2 linked regions of the Rattus norvegicus genome follow. The protein of the gene in region 1 binds, or shares a complex with, the protein of each later gene. Links are inferred from orthologs where the notes say so. Each region holds a gene or a part of one and is shown on either strand. Other genes may lie near its edges.

Region 1 (3,805 bases):
GCGTGCTCTCATGAGGCCTTGCTTCTCCTGACCTTGTATAGCTTCTCCTGGCTGCCAGATAGCCACTGGCGGTGCTGTCTATCTAATACAACAGGACTTAGTGGATAAAGTACTGGTTCCCAGGATCTGCCTTGTCCCAGTCACTAAGGAAATGGAGGACTGTGATTGGCAGTCTCATGAGATGCAGGAATGTGAATTTCAGCACCCCTTGGCCCTTGTCTGCATAGCCAGGAAGCATGCAGAAGGACCTGCTGCAGGACTTTGTTGGTTGTGGACTGTGTGTCAGTGGGGCAGGGAAGGGGGATCGGTTGAGCCCAGGACTTACAGGCTGTGATAGTTGATCCTGTTTTTGCATCTCTGAACAGCACTTAGCATCTCAGTTGGTCTTCTAGCATCTGGAGTTATGTAACATAAACACTTCCTTGCTCCCCGCACCCTGTCTGAAGTACTGAGATATTTATGCTGTCTTAAGCCTGCACTGCAGATAGATGCTTTTGGACTCCATAGTCCTTCTAACTCCTCTTGGGGTGGAGGAACATCTCAAACGCCATCCCTGGGCTCTCGCAGGCCAGAGTCCCTATGCTGGGCCGTGCTAACCCTGCTCTGTCTGACCAGTGCTGCACGCCTGGCTACCTGGTGCCCTTCAGGTTTCATCTTTGGACAGTGCCCACCATCGCTGTGTTTCCCAGCTCTGCAGCAGCACATCATCCATGTGGTCCCAAGCTCTGCCTTTTAGATTCTCAGGCAACAGAGTCTTCCATGCTTCCCCCACATCCCTCCTTGGCTGTGCTCCCTGAAACTTGACCACCTAGACAAAGGTGCCTTCAAGACCTTTACATACTCGTCCCATGCTTGCTGAGGCTGGTTTCCGAGGTTAGAAAGCAGAAGGAGGAGGTCTATTTGCATCCGTTTTGTTCAGTGGCAGTAAAGTAACTTAGTTCTGTGGTCCCTACTTGGTCACATGAACAGTAAATGACACAATGTGCTTAAAATTCTCAGCAATGAGTGGGAATTACTGTCTGGCTTCCTGTATGTACCACGGGCGTCTTCCAGCTAGCTAGGACACAGAGTTGGCAGCAGTGGGCCGGGCCAGGGAATGTACATCGGTGCACATGATCTGCACAAATAGCATGGAAACACTTGCGAAAATGCATCCTACAAACTGAGCAGTGGGTGGGCAGCCACCTGGTCTTGTAGGTCAACATTTCACTGTGACCAGAGTCCTGAAAGAACACTCTTGTGGTCTGATGGCTAGTCAGGAAAAGTCATCTAAGCATAAGATGCTACCCTCTGCCGGAGGCTTACTGTAGTAAAAGAGTCAGCACTAGTCCTCACTTGAGTTCAACTGGTTGGATCGAGAAATGTAATTTATAGGATCAATACAACTCTTAGTTCAAGCCCTGTGCAGCCCACTGACAGCTGCACTAAAGATTGCAGACCTGTTCCTCCCACACCCTCATACTCTTGCTTTTTGCCTCCTATGCACTGTGAAGCTCCAAGGAAGAGCAGGGCTTTCAGGATCCCAGGCCACTTGTTAGAACCTTAGACTGCCTGCCCAAAAGACAGCCAGGCAGTGTTTGTACTGCCTCTAAGGCTTTCACAAAGGAGGAGTGAGTTCTGAGGAGGTCACTTTTCCTGTCCTGCAGCTGCTTTGCAGAGGCAGAACGTTGAGACAGTTCTCAACTACGTTGACCTCAAGAGTCTTTGGTGCAGGCACCTCCACACCTCACTCATGGTGCCAGGTATCCAGGTTTCCTGCCTATGCTCTCTTGTTTCTGAGATGCCCTTCCATCGTCCCAAATGTTTTCTTCTGCTGCTTCAACCTCTGGAGAGCTCTGATTTCAAGTTTAGGCTCAGCTATGGATACATATGGATGCATGGTTCTCTTGGATGAGTAAACGGCTATATAGTTGTCTCTCTTTCCCTCTCTAACGCAGAGGTCACCTGATAATGTCACATACTGGAGAACTTTCACAGTGTCACGCTGTAATAATGCCTCATATTTGGATGCTGTTCTTAATTTCTAGATTTGTCTTGTCATGTTGGCCCTCAGAGATAACTGCAGCCTCAGTTTCTATATGAAGCAGTTTCAGGAGATGGTCTGCTTCCCAGTGTAGAGGCGGCTGTTTCTCCTTTGCAGGACAGGCATTTGAGGTCTTTGTGGAGAGTTATATACACGTGAATGCAAGGAATATACATGTGAATGCAAGTAAACCAGGGGCAGAGGTGTCAGATCTCCCAGAGATGGTGTTAGCACAGTGGTGGGCAATGCTGGGTGCTGGGAGCCCAAAGAGGAAGGCGGCATGTGACACGCAACACTTGTCAGCAGTCCCATCAGCCCCAGGAGTTTCTGTCCTGTTCACAAGTTTTCTGCATCTCTGAATCCTAAAGCCATTTAGAAGCCTGACAACACACTGGTAAGTCATAGGACTCGGTGCCTGGGAGTCCTCTGCTGCACTAACTCCATGCTGTCTGTCTGTCCTCCTGCCAGGAGCAGATCATCAGTTTGGTCAACCAGATATGTGGCAAAGTGTCTGGCAAACACGGTGGCATTGAGAACTGTCTCAACAAACCCACACCAAAAAGAGGTCCCCGCAAGAGAGCGACTGTGGATGTGCCGCCATCTCGGCTCCCGTCCTCATGAAGATGCTGAACCCACGGTCACTCACTTCTATATTTTTTGTAATTACTATATTCTAGTTTGGAGTACTTGCTGTAGGATACAAGCTGTCTTTGCACTAGCTCTAAAGAAGAATTTCTTCTGGTTTTAGAGAACTGATTTTGTTTTAGCATTAAACTGTTGAAGTTTTGTACGTAGACACCTAGGTCCTGCAGTCAGGTTGGAAGCTGCGTGCACTCACTGTCTAAACCCTTGAGGGCTGGATTGATTTGTGTCGCCCCACGGCTGAGAAAAGCCTTTTTTGTTTGTTTTTGTTTTGTTTTGGTAACTGTTAAAGAATAAAGGCTTTTTAACCCATTTTTGAAGAGGGTGAAGTTTGGAGAACAAGTTTTAAAACCATCAGTCAGATGAGATTTTTTCTAGTTTGGAAAAGGGATAGAGGACTCTCACACACACACACACACACACACACACACACACACACACGAAAACTTGAAATGGCTTTTTTTGGCTGTCTTTTCTTCTGACATTGCGAGGGGAGTTTGTAACTTTGAGCCCCGTTTGTTTGGCTGGGCGGCTATGGCAGCTGAAGCGAAATGTGAGGTTTGAGTGACGAGGTTCTCACACCAGCACATCACTATGCATCCGCTCGAGGAAGAGAGAGGACAAAGACTGCCTGCCTTGGAGGGTCACTGAGGGAGACCTGTGCCTGATTTCATTAGGAAATCCATTCTGTTATTTTTTTTTTTTTTGGTGCTGTTGGCTACTTTATCAAAAACAAAAAACCCTTCGATAGCATCCTTGAGGAAAGAGGAAAACAGCAGTTGACTGTAAGTGCTTCCCTGTCATCCACGTGCAATCTCCTGACATCCCACCTCCATCTCTGCTCGTGTCCCTCACACATCAGCATTAATCTCTGTTTCCCACACTTGGCCACTAAGTCTGCAGTTGTTTTGAATGTGAAGACACATCTGTGCTCATCCTGTCTGTTTTTTCTCTTCATGTTTTAACAAAAAAGAAAAAAAAAACAAAAAAAAAAATCCCATCCCTTTTGTACATACTCCTGTAAATTGTTTTAAATACTTGAGCCTTTTCTCGGTGGGGGGAGGGAAGGGGTGAGAAGATGAAGAAAAAGCCTTACATTTCAGTTTCTTCATCGCTGGATTGGATGCTTACAGGGTTTTT
Region 2 (4,552 bases), on another chromosome or scaffold:
ACAACTCAGCACAGCAGCCCCCAAAATAGGCGGCCCCACAGGTTTCTTAAAGACATTACCCGGGTTGGGGATTTAGCTCAGTGGTTAGCTCAAGGCCCTGGGTTCAGTCCCCAGCTTCGGAAAAAAAAAAAAAAAGAAAAAAGAAAAAGAAAAAGAAAAAAAAAAGACATTACCTTCCCCAACCACACCTACAGGTTAGCACATTTCTCTAAGTTTTCCTAAGGAGCAGTCTGTTTTACACCCATTCAAGAACACTTCTTGTGGCAGATAGATGGTGGATCCTGCATTTGGGAGGCTGAGGATTTCTGTGAATACCAGACTAGCCTGGGCTACAAAGGGAAACCTTGTTGTACAGATGTTGGAGGAAAAAGAAAATGTATTTACTTATCTCAGTTTTAAAGTGTCAAAAGAATGCCTGAGGGTTTTTTTTTCCTCCAGATTGTTCATTTATCACTAGCTAATAACATATTCATCTTTTTTGGCAACCAGAATTCCTAAAGACCTCAGAATGCTTTAACTTAAGATCAAATCAAAATCCAGGGATGGTGGTGTGTGTGGACTCTATCCAGAGACTAAGGGAGGTAAAGTTGAATTCTCAATAAGGGCAACTGATTAGGCAGATGCACCCCACCCCCAAAAAAATACAACCCGAGGAGAGAAATCACTACTGGCTTATAAATTCTAATCATCAAAACACTAGCAGATGGTCAAAAGTAAACGCTAATGTACTTTAGGAACATATTAAGCCTGATTCTTTTTCAAAGTACATTGAAAATCAACTTCAATTATGAAATTTTACAAAGCAATCAAAAATTAGAGCAGCAACCAAAACATACTACATTTCTTAAATGTTCTAACTAGAACAAGCTCTAGAAAAGCCACAATTCCTCCAGACACCTCCCCCATACATGACTTTAAAAAAAAATCACCAAGGGGGATGTGACTCCCACATCAAAGTATCGCTGCACAATGCCGTTTTCATAAGTAAGCCACATCCTAATTGTTTAACCTTCATGGCTGTATCTTATGACTCCAATTCTTTCTGATTCTGCAAAGTTACTGTAAAGGACATCAATTCAAACTCACTGTTCTTTTCCACAATGTTTAAAACTTGGTCGCTCAGATTTGATGACCAAAACTCAAATCCCCTGAGATGATATAACTGATACATGTGAGGGGTTCGAGAAGCTGTGATTACACACAACAGACCAACAGTCCTTTTTGAAAGTAAAGCAAAGCCAGGCTTGGGGATGTCCTCCCAGCACAAGTTACTCCCGTGAGATCCAGGAGACCAGCCATATTGGAAAACACTTGTCAATTACAGTTCTGACAAGTGTTCCCGAACACCGATGCACGAAGCTACCGAGGTGTACACCAAGGGCTTCTGGGCCGCTTTGGGGGAGCTGTCTCCGGGATAGAGTCGTCCTTCGATCCGAAAGAACCGCGCGCGGAGGTAAGGAGGGTAGGGGAAAGGAGAGTTGAGGGGGATGGTGAGGAGTTGGAAGCCGCTCAGTGGCGAGAGAGGGGCGCGGCGGCCGCCCGGGATTTCCAAGTTGAGATCTGGGGGGGAGGGGCCGAGAACCAGGGAGCGGGAGATCACCGAGAGAAAGTCCCCCGGGTCTGGGGTCCGGGGTCCCAGAGTCGGGGGCAGGGGTGATGCTGGCGAAGACGTTTCTCAAGGCGAGCGGGCGGGCGGGCGGGGTTGGGAAGGGGAGGCAAGAAACGGAAAGGACCGCGGCGAGAAAGTCCCCTTGGTCCCCTTGGCGGTGGCCCGGACTCTACCCGGAGCAAGGAGATCGCTGCCAGGAGGTCCCCCCTGCTGGGCCACCAGTCCAGGAGGTGGGAGGGGATCGGGCAAGGAAGTCAACTCAAAGGGGTCCAAAGAGTCCCCTAGACAGGACCCAAGGGGAGTCCCCTGGAGTCAGGAAGGAGTCCCCTGAGTCCCCTCGACCGGGTCCGGGAAGAGTTCCCTTGGCGGCGCACTGACCTGTCCTCCGAGTCCATGCGGCTCAGCGGCTCCCCGTCCGACGACATCTCCAGGCTGCCCCGCCGGCCCCCGGAGGTCGCGCTGCTCCCGCCTCCCCCGGTGCCGTAACCCTCGTCGCCGCCGCTCGACACCACGCTACTGCTGCTACTACCGCCGCCGTTGCCCGGGCCGCCCGGGCCGCCCCGCGGTCCCTTGGGCTCCTCCAGGCCCTCCTTCCCGTCCCCATCGCCGCTGCTGCTGCTCGCCGCGCCCGGGCTCAGCGAGCGCGTCTCGTCGCCGCTGCAGCCGCCGCTGCTGCTGCCCACCAGGCTCTCGGCGCTGCTCTCCTCCTCAGCGCCGCCGCTGCTACTGCCCTCGTCCTCGTCGTCCTCGTCGTCCTCGTCCTCGTCCCCGCCCGCCTGGCTGGCGCTCTCGGGGCTAGGCTCCGACATGGTCTCCGCCTCGCCGCCCCCCGCGCCGCCGCCCGCTCCGCCGTTCAACAGCAGCGCGGCCACCGCCTCTGCCTCCGCCTCATCGTCCTCCTCCTCCTCCTCTTCCTCCGGCGGCTCGGCCCGGCCGCGCGCCGCGGGCCCGGGGCTGCCGGGGGACAGCGGGCTGAGGCGGGAGAGCTCCTCCAAGTCGGCCATGTCGGTGAGCGCGGCGGCCATGGCGGCGCCTGCTGCTCCTCCGCCTCCTCTCGCCGCCGCCGCCTCCTCTCGCGGCGCGCCGCCTCGCCCCCGCCTCCCCGCGCCCGCACGCCCCAAACTCCTCGCAGCCGCCGCAGAGCGGGAGGAGGGCCCGCGGGGCTGCGTCAGGCTGCACACGCGCTACGGAGCCCGCGCGGGGACACGCGCCGGAACGCGCGCACTCACGCGGACGAGGCAGCGCGCCTGCGCGGCGGCCCACGGCAGCCACTCCCCCGGCCAGCCTGGCCCCTCGGAGAGTTTCTCGGGGCCTTCCCACGCCTTCCCGCGCCCAGCGGAGGCGGGACGAGCCCTCGAAACCTGAAGTCACTGGGGATTTTCACAGCCCTGTACTTCTCTAGAGGAAAGCATCCGCTCAGAGTGTGTGTGGGAAGGTGTCCTGTAGAAGGAAGCCATAAGTGGAGCAAGAGTCTCACCTTCTGAGTGCTTACCGTACGCAAAGACAGGACACAAAAATGTGCAGAAAGTTAAATAGATTTTTTTTTTTTTGAGGCATAGAGCTGCCGTCCACACCGCGGAGGCATAGTCCTCACTCTCAGCCGGACCTGCTTACCTGTCCCGACGTTCCAACGACCCAAGGAGGGAAGCTCAGACGAAGAGGGCAGCGCTTTAGCTCAAGATCCTCGCAGTTTTTAGTCCTGGAGCTTCTAATAAAATCTGGGATGAAGCTGTAGGTAGGCTGAGTTCTCGGGGGTGTAGTGCTGGCTCTGCCGTTGAGCGATCTAACCGCTCTTCCAGAGGACCCGGCGCTCGGTTCCCAGCACCCACATGGCGGCTCACAACTGTCTAACTCCAGAAGCTCTGACCCTGGCCTCCCTCCCGGTCACGTGGGCGGTGCACACATGTACCTGACCTAAAATAGGCGTGCCTTTACGCCCAGCCCTCGGGTGGCCGAGGCAGGAGAGTCTCCGAGATCTCTAGGCTAGCCTGAGCTATAGAGAGAGTTCTAGGCAGGCCAGTGATAACGCAGTGAAACCCTGTCTCAAAAAGCGAAACTCGGGAGGGTGGGAAGAAAAGAAAGCCTGGAAGGAGAGATCAATACTCAAACTAGTGAAAGCTCCTCCCTATCCTCAGGCAAGAGTCCTTTCCTTTGTGGGGTTTACATTAAGGGAAGCATTGCATCTTCCAAAACTTTCAGTAAGGGAATGCCTTGTTAATAAGCTTTTGTAAAATAAAGACCTGGAGTTTATGTTCCTCCTAACTAGTAAGGAGCCCACATTACACTCTGACTCCCAAGCACAAGGCATATTCTCGCATACTCTCTCTCTCTCTCTCTCTCTCTCTCTCTCTCTCTCTCTCTCACACACACACACACACACGCGCGCGCACACACACACACACAGAGAGAGAGAGACCCCCAGGTAGAGTGCTTTCAAGTTTCTAGAATTCTCTGCCCTAATAAAATAAAAATAATAAAGAAACAACATGTAGCCTACCAAAATAATCACAGCACTCAAGTATGAGGCTAGAAGGATCCTTGCAACTTTGAGGCAAACTAGCGTGGGCCACAAGGTAAACGCCTACGTCACTACAAATACCAGAGTAGTGTAGCTGCAGCCTTACCCTTTGGATACATATTATCACATGTACTGTGTTAAGCCACTGGTGTCCCCCCCCAACCCCCCCAGTGGAAGGAAACATTGTCAAAAAAATGTTGCCTCAAGGGAAGGCAAAAATTAAAATAATAATACACAATATGGGACACTATGTTTTATAAACAACTTTACACAGCTGTTGCCATCTTGGATTGTACACTAAGGATCAACAGAACTGGACTGAAGTAAAGCTTGGAACCAGTGAATATGGAGGTGGCTCTGGTGAATGTTAGAGATTAGGACTGAATTAGTAAAGAATATTCAAACCTTTTTATCTCCCCCGCCCA

What was found.
Region 2: the proteins of Jarid2 (region 1) and Aebp2 are in contact, whole or in part, in a cryo-EM structure (PDB 8VNZ), measured with the Homo sapiens proteins. The link is inferred for Rattus norvegicus from reciprocal best matches to the Homo sapiens genes JARID2 and AEBP2. Residues at the interface, in NP_004964.2 of Homo sapiens: Ser148, Lys151, Pro152, Lys153, Thr154, Glu155, Asp156, Leu158, Thr159; in NP_001107648.1 of Homo sapiens: Arg407, Ala410, Ile411, Asn414, Leu415, Glu420, Ser421.

The regions. Positions count from the first base shown.
Region 1 is NC_086035.1:19,983,721-19,987,525, reverse strand, and holds part of Jarid2 (jumonji and AT-rich interaction domain containing 2), read left to right. Parts: intron 1-2,491; coding exon 2,492-2,644; 3' UTR 2,645-3,805.
Region 2 is NC_086022.1:175,257,808-175,262,359, reverse strand, and holds the start of Aebp2 (zinc finger protein AEBP2), read right to left. Parts: upstream 2,817-4,552; 5' UTR 2,635-2,816; coding exon 1,988-2,634; intron 1-1,987. UniProt on the Homo sapiens protein: Acts as an accessory subunit for the core Polycomb repressive complex 2 (PRC2), which mediates histone H3K27 (H3K27me3) trimethylation on chromatin leading to transcriptional repression of the affected target gene.